Rhinolophus ferrumequinum: one gene and its partner. Each later gene encodes a partner of the first gene's protein in a complex. Links are inferred from orthologs where the notes say so. Each region holds a gene or a part of one and is shown in the gene's direction. Other genes may lie near its edges.

Region 1 (10,323 bases):
TGCGTGTGAGGTGGTACCTGCGATTTTGATTTTGCATTTCCCTAACGATTAGTGATGTTGAGCATCTTTCATGGGTTTATTGGCAATTCATACATCTTTTTTGGCAAAATGTCAATTCAAGTCCTTTGCCCATTTTTAAAGTCAGATTGTTTTACACTTGATTTTTGTATATTGATCTTATATGCTGCAACAATGATAAACATTAATTCTAGTAGCTGTTTGTAGACTCTGTAGGATTTCCTAGCTAGAAAATCATGTCATCTATGAGAAAAGATCTTTATTTATTTATTTCCAATTTGGAATGCCTTTTTATTTTCCTGACTTATTGATCTGTCTCGAATCTAGAGCAGTGTTGAATAGAAGTGGTGACAGCCAACACCTTTGTCTCGATCATGTCTTAAAGGGAAAGTATTGGTCTTTAATTGGTCTTTAATGGTTTAATTGGTCTTTAATTAAGTATCATGGTAATTGTAGATTTTTCACAAATGCCCTTTTATCACTATGAGAAGGTTCATAGTTTGCTGAGAGATTTTTATCAGGAATATTTGTTGGATTTTGTCAAATACTTTTTCTGTATCTGCTGAATTGATCATATGAATTTTTTCTGTTTTAGTTTGCTAATGTGAATTATATCGACTGGTTTTTCAAATGGTAAATCAGCCTTGCATCCCGGGGATTAAACCCAGCTGGCCATAATATATTATCCACTATATATAATGTCAGACTCAATTTGCTAAATTGACCAAAAGTCAGTGGAAAGAATATACATAGAAAAAAATCCACAGAAGATCTAGCTATTGTAATGATCAGGAAGAGATTTAAAATAGCTAGACTTATACGTTCAAGAAAGTATAGGCAAAGGTGGAGAAAATAAAAAGATGGAGAATTGCTCCAAATGAATTGGATTTTATTTTTAAAAAATCATATGAAATTTCTAGAACTTAAAAATACAATGACCAATATTAAGAATTCAATAAATAGATTTAAGAGAAGATTTAGGTAGATGGATAGAAAATTCACAGACTCATGCATAAAGAAAGATGTCAAAAAAATGGTAGTAAATACAGATGGTAAACAATGAAAAATTCTGACATATGTGTCACCGAAGTCTTAAAAGGAAAAAAGAGATAAGACCAAGAATTTTCGAAAACAGATAAAAGATACCAAGCTACAAATTCAAAGGACTTCACGAGTGGCACATGCCACTCATGAACCCAAGTGGGATGAATACAAAGAAAATCACATCTAGACATATCACAGATTATTTGTGGAAAACTAAAGAAAAAAAATGTTAAAAGGAGCCAGAGGAAAAAAGATATTAGTTTCCAAAGGAATAACAATGGAATGATGGAAACCAGAAGACAATAAAAGGACATCTTTAAAGTGCTGAAAAGAAAATTTGCCAAACTAGAATGCTATCTATACTCAGCAAAAATATGAAAGATAAAATGAAGTTTTTAGGCAAACAAAAATGGAGAGAACTTGTCACCAGCAGACCTACTACAGTATGAACAGAGGAATTATTGAGAAAGAAGGAAAAAATTCCAGTCAGAAGCACCAAAATGTATATTGGAACAAGGAGTAACATAAAGGGTAAATAAATATGTAGGTGAATATAATGAATATTGACTGTAGAAAACACATAATTATAAAATGTTGTATGGCTTAAAATACCAGGGGTGCCAAATAAATGTATACAAGTGGACACTTTGGTCAACATTGCTCAAGTAGTAATTCGCCGTCATCAGAAGTGTCTGGATGCTGATGGTAACCACTTTGAGCACCTCTTGTAATTGCAGAAGACAAACGTGACTTGTATTCATCTTTTGTTATCGGTATATATTGAGTATTACAATTTTAATACAGTTTTCCTTTCTTAAAATGTGTATACATTTTTTTGGCACCCTCTGTATATGCACAATTAAAATCTGTGACAATAAAAACCACAAAAGTGGAAGGGTGGTGGAGACATAGTATTCTAAGGTCTTAGCATTATTGGGAAAGTGGTATAAGTAATTATTTATGTTAGAGTGTAATAAGTCAAATAGGCAGGCTGTAATTACTAAGATTTCTAAAAGAATGTATAACTAATAAGCTAATAGAGGTTAATGGTATAATTAAAATATTTTAATTAATTCAAAAGAAGGCAAAAAAGAGAATAAGGGATGTAAAGTAAGTGAACAAAAGAAAATAAATAGCAAGATGGCAGGTAGAAATCCAAATACAGCAGTAATTATATTAAATGTAAATGGACTAAAAGCGTTTCCTGTTGAAATAAGTATAGAGCAAACTTCCAATTTTAGGCTTAGCTAGAGTCAGCATAAAAATGTAACTACCTACTACAAGTGAAAAGGCAGGGATTCCTAGTGCAAAATGTGGATGAGGGAAATAACATAGCTGGCAACCCTGCAGGGCTGAATTCTGAGTCAAGTTTGAAGCAAGAAAAACTGTCTGTTCAGTGCTGTGGATTTTTTTTAACATTTGAAAGACGAGGACTTTAATCTGTCTTTGTTGCAGATCTTTTGAGAAGACCTCCTGAATGTGCCCTCAAGTTATGCAAATGTAAAGCAAAGACTCTCTATGGAAGCTGTTTGAAAAGCTAAACTGTTCTTTGTTGTTGCAAATTGTTTTAAATTCTTGCTACTGTACTCTAGTTTGGTCTTCTCACAGGAATGGCTGTAGCTAGTTTTCTTCCAAATTATCCAAAGGCAAACACAGTTCATCTCTGTAAATGTTATTTTTCTTCTGAAGACCACACACTAGTCTCACGCGAAGAACTCATTTTCTTTCTATTAACATGACTTTATCTGTTCTCTTTGGGAAATAAAAACCTTTCTTTATTCTTTTAAAAGAGAATCTCCCTCCACCTTTTCTTTCCTGTATGTATTTCCATTTCACAAAGAGCTCTCATTTTACCTGAGAACGCATCTGTCTGATTCATCTAGGATGAAAAATATCCTTTCTAATAGATTAACTTGTACCTCCAAATTTCTCTCCTAATTTGGCAATGGGGCTTGGAAGTAGGTGACGGAGGGTGATGAAGTAAATCTCATCACACCACACCACATTTATGTTCTCAGTGTCAGTACTAGGATATTGAGTTGGCTGGACCATCATCTGAAAATATGTTTTTATGTTGTTATTGAGTGGTCTAGACAGTCTAAGGATTAGAGCAGAGAAAAGCTAAGAGATAAGAAAGTATAGGTTGAGGAATACACCAGGTTTGAGCTGGAGGTGGAAATTCCGTCTTTTTCTCAGTGGCTTAAAAATTTTCATTCACTAGCAACGTTTTGAGTCTGTACTACTTGTAACACAGTAATGGAGATGCAAAGAGGCATTCTAGAAGAACATACAATGTTACAAAGGCCACACATCCTGTCAAACGAATAGGGCAAATGGTCAGTACTACAAAAGTTCAGAAAAGGAAGTAAGCATGGAAGTTAAGGGAGTGAGTGGGAGGGTGGTCTTTAAAAGGTAAAGCTGGGGTAAAATGAGATGTTAGAGAAAATATCGTGTTTCCTGGAAAATAAGACCTAGCGGGACAATCAGCTCTAATGTGTCTTTTGGAGTAAAAATCAATGTAAGACTCGGTCTTATTTTACTATAAGACCTGGTCAATATAATATAATGTAATATAATATAATATCCCAGTCTTATTTTACTATAAGACCGGCTCTTATATAATACAACATAATATAAGACCGGGTCTGGTATTAATTTTTGCTCCAAAAGAGGCATTAGAGCTGATGGTCCCGCTAGGTCTTATTTTCCGGGAAACAGGGTAGTCTACGCAGGATGCACAAAGCAGATAAAGGTCTAGTAGCAGGAAAATACTTCCACACAAAATTATTAACGATTTAGTATGTCTTTTCATTTGTCATTTACTGCCTTTCCAATGAATGTAGTAAATAAAATTTAAAAAGGGTATGATTCAATCTCGAGAGACAAGACAAAGAAACCAGTAGAGGACAGACATGCTATGAAAAAAGTGCCAGTTCGTGGTTCAGCCATAAATTCGGACAAGAGCAATTCTGCATAGGGCACGAGAAGACAGGCGTTGGAGTAAGGCAGATCTAGGCTCCAAACTCAGATGCGTGCCACAAAATAGCTCCGTGACCTTGTGTAAATCTTACGACCCTCGTCTATGCTGTTTTCTATGAAAACGTCTCTAGTAAGGTCCAACAAGTCTCATTTGTGGGGAGGGTGAAATCATTGTGGTGACTTGACAAAGAGCTTGACACGAGTGTCTAAGTTTCTACCCTTTCTCCCTTCTCAACACACCTCCTCTTTTTCCTACAGTAGGAGTGAGATGTGTGGGGTGAGTAAAGTGAGCAGAAGGGGAACGATGAAGGGAGGCAACTTCCTCTCTGCCCTTCGCCCCCTCCCCACCACACAAGCTCCCGACCTCAGGTTCCGGGAGAGTCACCGTGGAAGTGGGCTGAGGGCACATAAGTGGGGAGGGAGGATCTGCTAACTGTAAACACAAACGCCATCAAGAGTTCAGAGCCCGTCTGGCCACCGGATTTCCGTGCCACACTGAAGCCACCCCACCCATGCGTCTGCTCTCAGTTTCCCCAGCTGTGTAATGGGGATACATCATCTCCTCCTCTCACTGGTATCTGCCCGACCTGACCGTGTGTGAAAGGCTAGAAAGAGCCCCCAGTTTTTGGCCTCCAGCCCCATCAGGTCCTCCTCCCGCTTTGGCTTTGGCCTTTTGTACCGGCCCCACGTGACCCGCCCGGCCCGCTCTTCCCTCCTTACCCGCCCCGCCCTCCGGCCTTTCCCGGCTCTCGGCCCAGCTCTTCCCGCTCCTCTGCCGCCCCCCTCCCGCACTCTCTCTCCCTCCTCCCCCCTCGCCTCCCTCCCGGGCTGTTGCCGCTCCCTCCTCCAGGCAGCCGTTCCTTCGCGACGCTTCCCCTCCCCCCGCGGCTGTTCCGCCGCCTCGCCTCCCCTCCCCCCGGCCGGAGCTCACTGTCTCCAAGATGGCGGCCGTGTCAGTTTGGGGCATCTCCGCGGTCCGGCCCGGGGTCCTGGTATCCCGGCTCTCTTCCTCCCCGGTAAGTAGCCGAGAGGCCACCCTCGGCCGCCCCCAGCCGTCGAACCCGAGGCTGAGTCGCTCTGGGGCCCGCTCCGCCGCCTCGCGGGGTCGGCAGGAGGCTGCAGGCCCCGTCGCGGCCTGCGCCGCCTCCCGCTGCTCTGCGCCAGGCCTCGGGCTGGGGCGCCACGGCCGCCCCCTCGCGCCCGGCCGGCGCCCGGCTTTCCCCGCCCCGTGGTCCGCGCGCCTCCGGCCCAAGGTCCCCGCCGCCCGCCGGCGGGCCGGGCCCAGCCGGGGAAGTCGGCGGGTGGGCAAGCGGCGAGCGGCCCAGGCCGCAGAGCCTCGGGCTGGGCTGTGCCGTGCCGGCAAGCCCGCTCTCCCTCGGGGGCGCGCCCACCTCCCCGGCCCCACCTGCGCCCGGCGCTCGCCGCCCAGGCCCGCCCGGCCCCTCCTGCCCGCGCTCCGGGGCGCTCCCTCTTCGGTTGCGGCCGGGTGTGCGGAGATCCGAGAGGGGCTGAGGCGGCAAATGGGGGTGACAGGCTGGCGGGTGTTGTGGTGCGGAGGAGGCAGCACGTGTGGTGTTGTGTCTGTCGGGCTGTCAGCCCGGACGCTGGGAGGGGAGGCGGCGGGCTGCTTGTCAATCGTCGGCCGGTTTGGACAGGAGCTGCCGGACCTGTCAGGCTCTTCGGGTAGCCTGCATGCCCTAAACCCTCCTTGGAACCCGCCTCTGTGGAGCTGAGGATTTGGAGGAGCTGGGAACGGGTGATACATTGCTCTTAACTCTTTCACGTGATTTCATTGTTAACTTAGTCCTCGGGTTCTGTTTCCATCTAATGGGAATGGCGAAGCCACCCGTTGGCAAGCTTCAGGGTTGTGCTGTTCCAAGTTTTTAAAGTTTCTCGCTCTTTAAAAAGAGAGCGCGAAGATGTGTTTGTGGGTGGGGAATGGAGGCCGGGGAAGAACTGTCGGAAGCAAGTTGTGCTTTCTCTTTAGACGCTGGTGTAAAGTTCAAGTCTGCAGGCCCTTTACTTTGGTAAGACCTGGACACTAGTGAAAATCCCGGCCGGAGAGACAATGAATAACTGTCATTCATTCTTTTACCTGCGAGCTTAATCAATTACGTTTCCAACTTCTTAAACTCAGGTTGTAGCTTCTTATTTAGTTTAGCGTTAATATCTACATAATGAACTTTCGTGGAGTAATAATAGTATGATTTCTATTCTCTCGAGACTCTCACCAAAATGAAGCATAGCTCTCAGGGGGCTTCTTTTTAGTCAGATTAAAAATAAATCTTGGCTCAGATTTGAGTGTTTACTTCAGCCTTTTTTTTCCTATCCGAGTTAATAGTACTATCCCTTTCCTAATACCTGTTAGTTTTCCTTTGGATTTTAATGATACTTGTAAGAATAATTGCTGTGGGAGCCATTTTTTTTTTTTTTTCTTTTGTTTATGTTGTAATGTAAATGTTCCTCAGATTAAGAACAGAGGTTCTAAAAAACACAAAAGTAAAATTAAATTTAGTTTTGAAAGCAGAGGAGTTGTTTAGATTGTGAAAATTCATTATTTTGGTGATTTTTAAAAAGATTTGTATATGCCAGGTTCTTTTGTCTGAAAGAAGAATATTGACTTTGATCCTGGAGAGGCAGTATATTTATGTTTGTGTTTCATTCGTTAATGTTCATTTCAGGACAGCAGTCTTGAATCTTTATGAGATCTTTGTAGACTGGCAAACAGGGAATAAATTTTTTTCTGTACCATACGTTTGATATGTAGTCTGTGCATTTGAACATAATGATTCTGGGCCTTTCTCATTTCTAGTTTCTCTCTCTGTAGATTGGTTATGAACATTTTGACAGTTGTTACTCCCTCCAAGTACTTTAGTTTGGCTTAGGAGATGCTATCAGCATGTAATTCTTGAAATTTGAATGAAATTGGATTATTTAAAAATTCCTTAAGCACTTTTCCCACTTGACTACTTTTCATATTATTTTTGTTTCCATTTGGAATGTTTAAAGTATATATTGCACTTAAAGTATGAACTTGATCTGTGTGTGTAAATTGTATTTGTTGTTTTTCTAATGTATGAAATAGTTAAAATTTTCTTAATTGTTTTCTGCCTATTCTACTGACTGTTTTATCCAGTCTGAATGTCTGGAATTTTAAAGATGAAAGATTCACTTTTACTTTCATTACAGGATTCTTTCTACTAATCCAGATACTTGTTGAAGTGCTGAATAGTTTCTTGGGGAAAGATGTCAAGGAAGAGTTTCAGTTCATAGACTGGTGAGCAGAGATTATGGCACACAGAATAGCCAGCACCCTCTGGTTAATTGTAGTCTAAGGTTATTCACAGTGCATCTCATTTTGTTTCCTCATTGTATTCTAATTACTCATTTCATTTCTTTTCTTATTTATCCCAGTGGTTTACATACATGATTGTTTTGGAATGTTGATAGAAACATGTTAAAATTCCTACAGGTGCTCAATAAACACTTGCTATTTGATTGCTTTTAAAGACTAGGATGTTTCAGTTATAGCTTATTTACAAGTGGGACTTGATAGAAAACTGACTTTGTTTTCATTGTTTTTCAGGCATAAGATAAACATTCTTCTGCTGGGAGTGACATGTTCCTGAGTTTTTACAACTTTATGAAGAGACCCACATGTGGTGCTATTGAGAAATTTATTGGGAAGTTTGAAGACATTTCAAATAACTGGTAGTTGCGGTTTCTAAAGTAAAGTGGGGAGGCATCTATTTTATGAAAGGAGGAAGGACTTAGGCCAGAAAACTTGTATGCTATGGTTAACTGGTTCTCAGCCTCCGAGAATGTTGTTTTCCATGGTGTAAAACTTACTCAGCATCAGGATAAGGGATAACGACTCTATGGATATACGAATCCTTCACCATGGTAAAACTCGCTAATCCGCTGTATACGGAATGGATTTTGGAGGCCATAAAAAAAGTGAAGAAGCAGAAACAGCGTCCTTCAGAAGAAAGGATATGCAATGCAGTGTCTTCATCCCATGGCTTGGATCGTAAAACTGTTTTAGAACAATTGGAGTTGAGTGTTAAAGATGGAACAATTTTAAAAGTTTCAAATAAGGGTCTCAATTCCTATAAAGATCCTGATAATCCTGGGCGAATAGCACTTCCTAAACCTCGAAACCATGGAAAATTGGATAATAAACAAAATGTAGATTGGAATAAACTGATCAAACGGGCAGTTGATGGCTTGGCAGAGTCTGGTGGCTCAACTTTGAAAAGCATTGAACGTTTTTTGAAAGGTCAGAAGGATGTGTCTGCATTATTTGGAGGCAGTGCTGCCTCTGGCTTTCACCAGCAGTTACGATTGGCTATTAAACGTGCCATTGGCCATGGCAGACTCCTTAAAGATGGACCTCTTTATCGGCTCAACACTAAAGCAACCAATGTGGATGGGAAAGAGAGTTGTGAGTCTCTTTCCTCTTTACCTCCAGTGTCACTCCTTCCACATGAAAAGGATAAGGTGAGAATGGTATATGCATCAGTGTTCATAGAGCTGATGATGTAGCATGCTACAAAGTCACGTTTCTAGGAAGTTATATAGAAGTTAACACAAGTTTTGTGTTTGGAGACTTGTGGAATGATGATCACCTCTGGTTTTTCACTGGTGAGTTCTAGGTGTGAGAACTCAGTAGATGCTAATTGTTCTGATATTTTGAAATAGTTGAGATTCAAAGTGTAGAGTATCGATCAACCAAAAAGAACATGTTTAGATTAGAATTAAAAAGTAGCATACAACTTTAAAACTGTTGCATAAAAGTTCTTGTATCTTACTGCGGGAAGCTGATGAACAGCCAAATGCTGGAGACTTGAATTTGAAACAAACAAGTGACTCTAAGAACCTTTCTTCTTTCTTCTTCCCATTTTGTTGCAGTTTATCATTACACAGGAATGAGACCAATTCTTGTGACCCATAGTAGTAGTTAAGCAAATTTAGCAATTCTTATATCTACTGTTTGTATTCTAGCTTTCTGTCATGTGTTATTCTTTCTATATGACAAAGTCCTAAATATTATTGCTTATGACAGGTGTAACTACATGGGTCAGGAATACTGTACCCTATATTAGTAAAGTTCTGGGGAGCTGGGAATTTTGATGCACGTATGATATACATTACTGTGCTGTGTTTTATGCTGTTACTTTGTGCACTTGAAAGTATGTCTTAACGGTAAATTTTGGCCCTTAAATAGATAATCAGGGTTGAGGAGAATTTCGTTAATAGCTGTTTCTTACATTGACCTAGTGTCCTAGCTGTAAATTTATTTCAATTGCTCTGAATTGTAGTTCTGTGGAAAGTGTAGTAATTTAAATTGTTGTGCACCTTAGTAGGATGAGAAGATTGTAAAGTTAATGTTGAATGTATTTAAACATATTTGAGATTTGCTCTAAATTTACTGTAGTTGATAACCCACCTATAATTTTTTACTTAAATAACAATTGAAAATTAACAGTATTTTTCTTTGATGAAGTTTTTAGAGATCGATTTTAGGATTCAATTTTCTCTGTGAACTTTGAACTAGAAATTATCTTACTGTGATTACTCTTAAAATGATTCTGATAGAGAATCCCATTCATAAAATGGCTCTGTATCATTTCAGCATTTAAGAGTACAATATTAACAATTCAAGGTGGACAAGTAACTAAAATGCTTTATTCTGTTGTTCAGTGCTGTAAGTACTCTTAATCTGTGAGAACTGTTTCTTGATCACATATAGCTTAAGTGAAATGAAATACAATTGATTCCTACAACTGTTAATCAAGTGATCTACAGGTTAATTGCTTGGAAACAGAATAATTTATAGTTTAGAATGAATTCACTGTCATACCTGTGAATTGGATATTATAAATTCTTGTTAGAACACCTGGATGCTTGCTTTTATTATAAATTCCCTTGCTTGAGTTAGATATTTTAATTTAAAAAAATATTAACTATACATAAAGTGACAGTTGTGCATATTACTAAAAAGTAGTCAATATAGTGCAATGTAGGACAAATCTGACTCCTATCACCCTAAGGCTTTACTCCTGGAAAGAGACCATGAGAACCATCTAACCCAACAATCCTTATTTTGCAGCTGAGTGGAGATCTTTGCATTAAAAAAAAATGTTTAATCCAGCAAAGATCTGCTGGTGTGCTTTGGTTAGAAATGTCTCTTTGGTTACATAATTTTAATATATAGTGTTGTTAGCCGGAGTAACTAAATGTGGAGGATACGTTTGGGAAAATTGAGTTTCTTGAATAGAC
Region 2 (11,040 bases), on another chromosome or scaffold:
TGGAGAAACATCTTTCGCATCCTGTACCTATTTTCTAATCTGGTTGTCTGTTTTGGTTGTTGAGTTGAGGACTGGGAGAGGTAGGAGGAACTGGAAGGCTCTAAGCACGAGAGTAGCAGGATCACTTGAGCTGCTGTGTAGAGAAAACGTATAGAGGAGTAAAGGTGAAGCAGCAATACCAGTCAGGATACTGAGATGATACAGGTGAGAGGGTGCTGATTGGCCTTCGGGAGGTAACAGAGGAGGTGGGAACACAGGGCTGGTTCTGCGCACATTGTGAAGGGGGAACCAACAGGATTTGCTGATGGATCAGGTGTGAGCAGCAAGGCACTGCCTCTCACTCAGGAAGCATGGAGTTACCATTTACTGAGAAGGTGTAGCTGCCACAACAAAGTACCACAAACTGGGTGTTTAAAACAACAGAATTTTTTTGTCACACCGTCCTGGGGGTTGCGCGTCTGGGCCCTGGAGTCCTGGAGGGCAGTGTCCTTCCTGGGGGCTGCCGCCCTTGGCCATCCTGCGCTTGCGGCGGCATCACTCCAGTCTCTGTTGTCATCTGTCCTGCTCCCTGTGTCTGCCCAAATTCCCCTCTTCTTACAAGGACACAACCGTGGGCTTAGGGCCACTCCAACGACTTCATCTCAGCTTGACCATCTATAGAGACTGTATTTGGAAAGTGACGTCACGTGCACAGGCTCCGGCAGTGAGGACATCCACATATATTTTGGGGGACACAATTCAATCCATAACAAATGGAGAAGTTGAGAGAGAAGTTTGGGGCCGAGGGCTCTCAGTGTCCACACGCTGAGTGTGACGTGCCTGTTAGATGTCCCAGAGGGGATGCCGGGGAGGCAGCGAAGTCGAGGAGCTATCGGAGCATAATTTTCAAAAAGTTAAAAATATGACTCTACAGCTCTCAAGTAAGAACGTGTCAAAGATTTCTTTAAATCATTCATGAGGAAACCAGCATGATGGTGAGGCTGGTTCAAAAGCTTGGGCAGAGAAGGAAGTATGTGTAGTGGCTAAAGAAAAGCTTGCTTGGGTAAGCTTGTAAATTAGATGAAAAACAGGCTAACATTCTACAGGGGCTGTAAAACTGGCATCTTCTCCATTGGACAGAAATAACTTCTATCATTTACTAACTGAGCAAAATTCATTTGCACTGCTGTCAGACAAGAATCATTTTACTCAGCCATCGTTTTCTACAAGTCTGTCCTCCCGAGATAAAAAATCATAATCAATAGTAAATACCGAGTTAAACACCTCACCCACAAGAATCAGGTAACACTCTTGGCAGGCCTGCTAGACAACACTCAGCCTCCCACCCAAAGGACCCACCACCATCCTACTTTTTCATAAGTTTTGGAAAATTTTTATTAGGCCCTTTCCCATGGTGATAATCTCCAGAGGTTATTGTTGACCACAGAATGCTAGTCTTGCTGCATCTGGACCTGATTCACCCACACAGGCGCTGTAAAAAATGCTTAATTGACATGTATGAGCCTCCGGGCTGGGCCAGTACATCTACACTACGTGGCGTTACCCAACGACCAAGACCGGAAATTCAACCTCTGTCTGGTGATGACATCGTAAGAATATAGGACCCGGCCTCTTCTATGCCTAAGATTTTAATTTCTCGTCTTCTCTGCTCTTCCCAGGTTACGAAACCAAGCCAGTCGCCTGCAGCTTGGCCTGCCGTACCTGTGCATGCAGGTACATCCCTGTCTTTTTGAGGACTTTGGTGTCTGCCACAGAGCCCGTGTTCCTACCACTCGTAAGCCGCAGACCTGGCGCCCCACAGTACAGGGACTGACTAGTGTGGGTCTGAGGGCTGCATGGGCATTGGCTCACCACATACAACCCTTCCTCCTAAGCTGGGTGGGTCCTACGGAACCACGACACATATTCTCAAATGTGACACCAAGGTAAGGCCTTGGTTGCACAATTAACTTGTCTAATGATATCCTGGTAAAAAGGAGGATTGATTTCTACTGAAACTATGCAAACTAGATTCCTACTAAAACTGAAGAGTCAGTAAAAACTACTTTTCCTGAGTTCTGAAGTGAGAAAACACCATCTAAAGAATGTGTCACTGGTTGGTGAAAACAGCCCACCAAATGCAAGGTTAGAAGTGGGTTAAGAATAAAGGATTTGATCTTACTTCTGCCAGAAAATAACACATTATACAATCACACCCGTGCCCTTAACCCGCCTTTTCTGGGCCCAAGCTTTCAGCGGCAGGTCCAGTGGTGTGGGGCTGGGTTGGGAGTGTGGAGTCCCCAAAACTGAGCTTTTGGTTGGTGCCTGTAAGTGGGGGCAGCGGTCGATGTGTCTGGGGCCAAATCTCTCCACACACAGCGGACTGAGCCACTGGGTGACTGTTGACAGTCATCTAGAAGGGGGAGCGTAGGATGAACCCTGCTGGATTGCAACGAGCCCCCAGCATGAACTCAAGTTTTGTTAATAGATATCGAAGAAGATAGAGGTGTGTGTGCAAGCTGACACACCTTTCTTATCGCTCTCTGCAAGTGTAAATGGAATCACACTTTGCAGTCTCCTGTCAACTGTCTCTCCCATTCAGCATTATTGTCTGAGATTCTGCACGTAGCTCCAAGTGCTGCAGTTCATTCATTGTAGCCACGTGCACTATTCCAGCATACAGACACACCCACTTTATTTATGGTCTCGTCCACGGACATGGACGGTTTTTGCCAGCATTTTTGGTGTTCAAAACAGTGCTGCTTTGAACATGGACGCACGTCTTCTGATGAGCAAGTCCAGACCTCTCAGGCCCAATCTAGGTGTGTAATGTACCCAGGAGCCCATACCTGCTTAGCCCTGCAGCTGGGAATGGGTGTGCATATTATGGCAGCTGGCACATTCCCAAACTGGCCATAGAAACTTCTCCCACACTTGTGCGCCTCTTAAAATGAGACTCTGACACTTTTCTCCACAGGAAGTACGGCTCAGCATCCCCCCATGTCTTGAATCAGGACAGGCTTGTGCAGAAATGGTGCTCTGTGATTTCTGAGGTGACAATATAAAAAGTGACACAGGCCCCTCCATTTCTCTTGGACTCTTGTTCTTAGAACCTTGCCACAGTCCCTCGGCCCTCAGCCTATAGCTGGAACCAGCCTACCAGCCATATGTGTGCACCATCTTGGACATTGCCCCTCCAGCGCCTAGTGGAGATGCCCCAGCTGGTGAGCACGGAGTGGACCAGCGGTGAATCCTGCCCACAAAGCAGATCCATGAGCAAAGGGCATGAGTGTTGTTTTGAGCTACAAAGTTTTCAGGCTGGTTTGCTATGCAGTGATAACTGACACATATGTCTAGCTTCATTGGGTAATGCCGTATTATTCACCAAGATAATTGCACCACCTGATATTGCGACCATGTTTCCGTCAATCCACCTTCTTACCATCACAGGGTACTGTCATGTTTGAACACCTGTGCTCACTTGGTGTGGATTCAGTTTGCATTTCCAGAATTACTACTGAGGTCATTGGCCCTTTCCACATTCTTCTCTGTAAGGAGCCTGATTATGGGTTTTGCCCATCATTCTATTCGCTCGTCTTTTTCTAATGGATTGGAAAGCATTCTTTATATATTCTGGATATGAATCATTTGCAAGGAACACCTGTTGCAAATACCTTCTTTTAGTTTTTTGTTCTTCCTTCTCTTTTGCTACTTTGAGTAGCAAGAGTTGGATGATACATACTTTCCATTTATTTTCAATCCTCTGTGACATTTTTAGGTGTATTTCTTGTAAACACTATTTAATGGCATTTGTATTCCAGTTGAGAGTCTCAGTCTTTTGATAGATGACTTTAATTCAATCATGTCTCCAGTTACTCAAACATTTGAATTCATTCCCGTCATCTCATATTATGGTCCTTATTTATTGTGTACTCATCTTTTCCTCTTTTCTGCCTTTGGTTGGCACTCTCAATTTTTCTTCATTTCAGTTTTCCCCCATCTGTCTTAGAATCTGTAGATCCTATTTCCATTTTTCTAGTGGAAACTTGGCTATTTTAACATTTTAAACCTTTTTCTATCCATTCTAAACTCCTCTAACAACACAAGAACTTCAGTGAACTTTCACTTCCTGCTCCCCTCTCCTCTTGCTGGATGCTCTATTCAGTTCATCTGGGACTTTCTCCCAAGTTGGTATTTGATTTTCTTTTAACAGTCCAAACTGGTTTCTTTGCTGGCATCCATGTCTTACTCTCAGATTCACTTTTCATTTGCTAGGGTGTATCTTTCAGTAATATTTAAGAGACCATGTGTCGTAAACTTGGATGTTTACAGGCTGTGGACACCTTTATTCTGCTGTTTCATTGAATGCTTGTTTCATCGTGTATGGAATTCCAAGTTCAATTCTCTTAGAATTTAGTCAATTCATTCTTTGCCAAGGAACCATCTCAGCTTCTCCCTCCTTTCAAAACAATGGCCATATCAAGTTCAGTCTGATTGAAGAATATCCTTTCTCTCTGAAGGTTTTTGAGCTAGTCTCTTTATCCTTGTATTCCACATAGTAGGTCTGTGAGCAAAAGGAGTGATTGTTGTTTTGAGCTACTGACACGCTTGTAGGTCTTTTTTAACTTCTCCTGGACATCACTTACTTCCATTGTCTGAGAAGTCCTTCTTTTGTCTGTCTTGTGGAGAAGGGTTTTGTTATCTTTCATCTTCTCTTTCACCAGACTGTTTCTTACTTTTGCTGTGTGTGGTGAGCCCCTCCAGCTTGTTGATTTGCATCTGGCTTGCCCATGGTGGAGGAGAGAAGGGTGCAGGCCCCACTTGCTTGCTCTCAGCTACTAGCTGCCCTGGCATGTTTGGATTCGGACAAGCAGACATCTGAAGAGCGGGGAGACACCTGCAGCTTCTGGGTCTGGTGTGGATGTGGTCAGGGCCCCAGTGCCCAGCCAGCCCCACCTTGGCCCAAGGAAGTGTCTGGAGGGGCCACCAGCTTCAAGGTGGGACTTTGTTCAGGGTTGACCACTGGGTGACCTTGGTTGCAGTCCTACCTCACTCTCGAAGCCGTACATTGGATGCAGTGGGGTACAAGTACTGGTCACCAAAAGGCCCATGGGGCTCCATCTCCCCCAAGGACATTTGGGTGCAGGGGGCAGCCCACTCCCAGTAAGGCGTTCGGTGGGGGATCCTAAGCAGTGGACTGTGCCCTGCCTGTCCATGTAGGGGAAGACCTGACCGGCTCAGAAGGACCCAGCCTCTTGCCTGGGCAGCTGTCCATTCTCTTCCTGACGAGCCTGTCTTGATGCCCCAGGCTGGGGGCCACCTGCCTGCTCCTTTCCCTGGGGCTGGGCTGCCCACCGCCAGGGGCTCCCTCATGGCCACCGCACTAACAAACCCTCCAAGGAAACCAAGGAGACATCTGGGCCTCTCTGTCCCCTCAAGACATTTTGGGATTTAATCTCCGGATGAAAACTGTCACAAAACCCCCGAATTTTAAGTTTCCACAAAGGCCAAAGTGGAAGCAGCCAGTGGGAGAGGAAGCTCAGGTCGCCCTCTGTTTCACCAGGATGCCGGGGAGGGTGTTCAAAATCCTAATTACCCGCCCACTTGGCTTAAAACGCCTAAAGGAGGGCCGAGCTGGGGCGAGCCCCTCAGGCCGGGCTGCCCGTGCCCCGCCTAACCCGCACCCCAGCAGACGCCCCTCCAGTCTCCCCGCTGCTTCTCCGTCCCCTCCCAGCACCCCCTTCCGCCCGCCCCCCCCCCCGTTCTCCTGCACCCCACCGTCGGGGGCTCCCTTTCTCCGCGGGAGCCCGTCCAGCGTCCCTCCACTTCCGGTCTGGCCCCCACGCCCAGCCCCCAGGTCCGCTTCCCGCGCGCGTCCCTCCGCCCAGCTGCGTCCCGGCCCCCGGCCCCGCTCCCGGCCCCGCCCCCGGCCTCGCGTCACGGCGGCGGCGGGCGGGGCGCGTCTCGCACGCAGCGCGCCGGGCGGAGCGCTCGCCGCATTGTTTGCTTCGCTGGGGAGCGAGCGAGCAGCCGGCCCGGGCGTCCGAGCAGCCCCGCGCCCGCGCCCGCGCCCGCGCCCCGCGCCCCGCCGCCGGCCGGGCCCCGCGCCGGCCTCCCGGCCCCGCCCGCCGTCCGCAGGGCCGCCCGCCGACAGGAGCCCGCGCCCCGAGCGGCGGCGGCCGGGCCTGCGCGGCCGTTGGCGGAGGAGCCGCGGGCGCCATTAGCGCCGCCTCGGCCGCGCCGGCCCCAGCGCCCGCCCGCCGGGCTCCCGCGGCCCCGAAGGTGAGTGGGCGGGGGCCGGGCCGGGGACGCCGCCGCCGCCGCGAGGGCCGCCGGCCCCGGTGCTGCGCCGCCGCCATGTTTGAGGCCGCGGCGGCGCATTGTCCGCGGGCGAGCGGGAGGCGGGCGGGCGGGGGCCGGAGGGAGGCCGGGGAGTCGGGGCCGCGGAGTCGGGGCCCGGAGGCCGTGGGGTCGGCGCCCAGGTCGCCCTCGGCCCGCCTGCGGGCCGTCCCGGGCTCGGGCGGCGGAGGGGTGAGCGCCGCGGGCGCGGCGGGGCGGTACCGGCGCGAGAGCCGGGCCGTAACCCGGCCGGCAGGGCGGGCGGCCCCGTCGCCCCGCGGGTCGCATTATGTAACAGATACGCTCGTGGGTTTTGTCGGGACGGGAGGCCTGTCGTAGGGCCGCCTCTAAAGGCTTCCTACGGGACCCGGGAGTCGGGGGGCCCAGGGCGGCGGGCGGCCGGCGGCCGGCAGCGCAGGGAGGCGTCCCTCCCGCTTCCGGGCAGTGTTGGCAGTAAACACGCTGAGATGGACTTGTGCCCCGGCTGTCCTGGGCCTTTTTTTTTGAAGAAGTATCTTTCTCGAGGCACAGTTTACAGAAAGTGCAGCTCCGGTTAGCGCCCAGGGATTCTGGAGAGCGTCTACACGCCCAGGAAGCCACCACCCCGTCGACGACGTCCCGTCACCCCACACACTTCTGCCCCGGTCATCGCGGAAAGCAGCGTTTATAGAGTTAGGGTGTATTTACTTACGTGGCCTGGCACCTGCTCTGCCGGGCACGGCTGTGAGCAGCTTGTGTTCACCCAGGCTGCACGCAGCCGGCGAGGTGTGTTCTGGCTCCGCTCACATTTAGGTAGTGCAGGGGGCGAGGCTCGGAGGATTAAGTGACATGTCCAGACCAGGCAGGAAATGTGCTGCGTGGACAGCGAGAGCTGGTCATTACTGTGGCCGGTCATTACTGTGACGGCTAACCCTCTTCAGTATGTACTTAACAGAATTGTTCCCGGAGATGCTTGCTGATCATCCTTGCCGATTCCCTCCTGTGGAAATGCTTGTCCCTGTACAAAAGTGCCCAGGGTGTCTGGAGCCAGAGAGCCACAGAGAGCGCTCGAGGGTATCGGGGAATGATGAGGCGGTGGGTCACTCTGTGCCTGGCACTGCTGCTAAATGCCCGCTTTCCCTGTCACAAGTACACTTTCAAATTGCAGAGCTGCTGTGACGATTAAGTGTGAGGCTGTTTCTGTGGCAGGTGGTCACTTAGTGCCCATTGAGACAGTGTGGGTCTTGAAGGGCTGGATGTACTTGCAGCTCCTGGGTACGTGGCTGCAGGGCAGAAAATTTCACGTTTGCTGTGAATGTGAATAACCACGTGTGGCTTCTCCCTCCAGTAAGGACACGCGAAGCTGTCCTGAGTGCATTAGGGTCACCTCTGTGCTGACACCTGGGGGACACACCCAGCTCCCCTCAGGAGGGATTGTAGGCTATTGCCAGCTGGCTGGTGGCTTCACTGACTGCTCCCCAGGAACTCTGAACTGGGATTTGGCTGACCCAGGGTTTGCCATGTTCCTCTTGGCAAGGAATTCATCACATTTTAAACCGTTTCCATTTGACCCAAGAAAGCCGCAGTCTGACGAGTCAGTCTTAAACAGTGCATCAGGGTCCGCTGGGATTTCCTTTCGGGGTGTAGAGTGAAGCCTGCTCGCTAAGGCTTTTGCACAGACCAGCCAGGTGGGCAAGGGGCTGTCATTCAGGCTCCTGTGGGCGCCCGAGGCTGGGCTCCCCACCCCGCCTGGTGGGCCACGTGAAGCAGCGGGCCTTGGACTCCAACTCGGCATGTTTGTTTATAAGCCAGTCTCTGAAAAATCCCTTTGCTTCCTGTCAGTAAGATGTTTGGTGGGAGGAGTCTGAGAGGTCTGTGACAGGTCCTTGTCAGTTCCTAAGGTGACACCTGTTTGGTTGGTGGTGGTCCACAGTTGGAGCCTTACTTGAAAATAGTGACAGCCCGACGGCGGAGATCTGAAAAGAGCAAATTGTCAATCTCTGGCCAAGGTTTCAGGCACCTGAGCCTGTGCTGGCAGAACGATGGTGGTGGTTCTGTGGGCAGGGTGGAGCCTCAAGGCGGCTCTGCAGGGGTCCCGGGGTGGTTCTGCAGGCAGTGCGGGGCCTCGGGGTGGCCCTCGCCGTAAAGCGTGGCACGTTGAATGTGTGTGGGTGTGCTTGAGGAGGAGGAGGGCCTGGCCTGGCCCTGCAGTCTAGCCAACAGCTCAGAAGTGCCCAAGGGGAAGGGGCAGGCAGGCTGTGGTCAGGCCACTGAGGCCTCTGGCCCCTCTGCACAGTGCTGCCAGAACCAGTGCCCTGGCTCCAGGGCTGGCAGCACTGTTGGGGAGAGGATGTCCTGGGAACATGGGTTGGGAGCGGAGAGCCTCTGAGCACGCTTGCGTCACTGTCACAACCTCTCTGCCTGCTGGAGTCTAGCCCTGGGTTCAGGCCTGGGACCCTTGGTCCGGAGGGATGTGGCAGTCATCTTGGTGATCTGTTGGCTTGGTCTAGGAAGGTAGCTGGCAAGCAGTGGGAATCGGTGTCGGAGGGACTTGTCACTGCACATGCCTTTCGAGGGCCACTGCTCACGGCCTGTCCTCCCCTCTGGTCCTGGGAGTCCCTGTTGGGGTCGGGATGGATGGTTCCGGAGCCTCCGAGCCAGGTCAGCTGGGGGATTGGACTTCGTGTGTGTGCTTGTCCTGTCCAGTTAACGTGCCTTCTGCCTGTGTCTAGGGAGTCAGTACCAAATGAGGAGGAAAGGACGATGCCATCGAGGCGCTGCAGCAAGGCTCCCGTCCTCCCCGCGCAGCACTAAGCAGTCCCCGGCACGCGAGAGCCTGACGTACGCGCAGGCGCAGAGGATGGTGGAGATCGAGATCGAGGGGCGCCTGCACAGGATCAGCATCTTCGACCCCCTGGAGGTCATCCTGGAGGACGACCTCACTGCCCAGGAGATGAGCGAGTGCAACAGCAACAAGGAGAACAGTGAGCGGCCGCCCGTGTGCCTGAGGGCGAAGCGCCACAAGAACAACCGTGTCAGGAAGAAGAGCGAGGCCGCCCCCAGCGCCCACGGCGCCCCAGCCTCCGCCAGCGTGCTCCCCGAGCCCAGGGTGCGTGTGCTGGAGTACAGCCCCCCGGCCGCCCCCCGCCGGCCGCCCGCCTACTACAAGTTCGTGGAGAAGTCGGCGGAGGAGCTGGACGGCGAGGTGGAGTACGACATGGACGAGGAGGATTACGCGTGGCTGGAGCTGGTCAACGAGAGGCGCCGGGCCGAGTGCGTGCCCGCCGTGTCGCAGGCCGTGTTCGAGCTCCTCATGGACCGCTTTGAGAAGGAGTCGCACTGTGAGACGCAGAAGCAGGGCGAGCAGCAGTCGCTGATCGACGAGGACGCCGTGTGCTGCATCTGCATGGACGGCGAGTGCCAGAACAGCAACGCCATCCTCTTCTGCGACATGTGCAACCTGGCTGTGCACCAGGAGTGCTACGGGGTGCCCTACATCCCCGAGGGCCAGTGGCTGTGCCGCCACTGCCTGCAGTCCCGCGCGCGGCCTGCCGACTGTGTGCTGTGCCCCAACAAGGGCGGTGCCTTCAAAAAGACCGACGACGACCGCTGGGGCCACGTGGTGTGTGCCCTGTGGATCCCAGAGGTGGGCTTCGCCAACACGGTGTTCATTGAGCCCATCGATGGCGTGCGGAACATCCCCCCCGCCCGCTGGAGACTGACGTGCTACCTCTGCAAGCAGAAGGGCGTGGGTGCCTGCATTCAGTGCCACAAGGCGAACTGCTACACGGCCTTCCACGTCACGTGCGCCCAGAAGGCCGGCCTCTACATGAAGATGGAGCCCGTGAAGGAACTGGCTGGCGGTGCCACCACTTTCTCCGTCAGAAAGACCGCTTACTGTGATGTGCACACGCCCCCGGGCTGTACCCGGCGGCCTCTGAACATTTACGGGGATGTTGAGATGAAAAACGGCGTGTGTCGAAAAGAGAGCTCGGTCAAAACGGTCAGATCCACGTCCAAGGTCAGGAAGAAAGCCAAAAAGGCTAAGAAGACGCTGAGCGAGCCTTGTGCAGCCCTGCCACCCGTGTGTGCTCCGTATATTCCCCCTCAGAGGTAAGTGTGTGCAGGTGTGGGGACCAGGGGCAGCCTCGAGTGGGGATGTCAGGGAGGTGCCTGGTAGGGCGGTGGTACCGCAACCACGCGGTCCCCTGAAACCTGGCCTCGTTCATTCACTTTGTGGGAGCGTGGATGTCGCTAGGACTCGACTCTGTCAGACCTGGAAGGATGTATGGTTTCACTAGGGGCCACACCGGTGCCCGGGGTAGACCAGACAGTGTCGGGGTGACCGTGGGTCTGGGGCCGCCTTTGACACGAAGCGCCCTTCCTCCTCCTGCTCCCTCACCAAAGTTTGGGAACCTTGTAGGATTTTAACACGTTTTGTTGGAAAGTGAAGCAGCTTGGCCGAGTAAGAAGACACAGGTGGAGATCAGGGTGGGGCCCACGGGAGCCGCGTGCGGGGGGCGCTGGCTGCCTTCCTGTCGTGTGACAGTCTTGCTGGTTTTTCTGACCGTTGTCGTTCGTAGTGCAGACGTTGCCTCGTCAGTGTGGGGCTCTCCGACCTAGAAGGGTGGGGTCCTGGCTCTGCTGCCCCTGCTGTGGGCAGGCCCGCCTCCCCTCCTGCTGTGTCTGCTTCTGTGCCTTAGTGTCCTTGTCGTCCGCTTGGCCTGTTCTCTCATTGCGGAC

Evidence for each region. The genes of interacting proteins can lie anywhere in the genome.
Region 2: KAT6A (region 1) and BRD1 share a complex: the UniProt entries of both Homo sapiens proteins name them as parts of the MOZ/MORF complex. The link is inferred for Rhinolophus ferrumequinum from reciprocal best matches to the Homo sapiens genes KAT6A and BRD1.

The regions. Positions count from the first base shown.
Region 1 is NC_046287.1:58,404,140-58,414,462, forward strand, and holds the start of KAT6A (histone acetyltransferase KAT6A), read left to right. Parts: upstream 1-4,935; 5' UTR 4,936-5,057; intron 5,058-7,230; exon of another isoform or gene 7,231-7,318; intron 7,319-7,627; 5' UTR 7,628-7,941; coding exon 7,942-8,541; intron 8,542-10,323. UniProt on the Homo sapiens protein: Histone acetyltransferase that acetylates lysine residues in histone H3 and histone H4 (in vitro). Component of the MOZ/MORF complex which has a histone H3 acetyltransferase activity. May act as a transcriptional coactivator for RUNX1 and RUNX2.
Region 2 is NC_046293.1:785,113-796,152, forward strand, and holds the start of BRD1 (bromodomain-containing protein 1), read left to right. Parts: upstream 1-6,167; 5' UTR 6,168-6,261; intron 6,262-9,029; 5' UTR 9,030-9,043; coding exon 9,044-10,410; intron 10,411-11,040. UniProt on the Homo sapiens protein: Scaffold subunit of various histone acetyltransferase (HAT) complexes, such as the MOZ/MORF and HBO1 complexes, that acts as a regulator of hematopoiesis.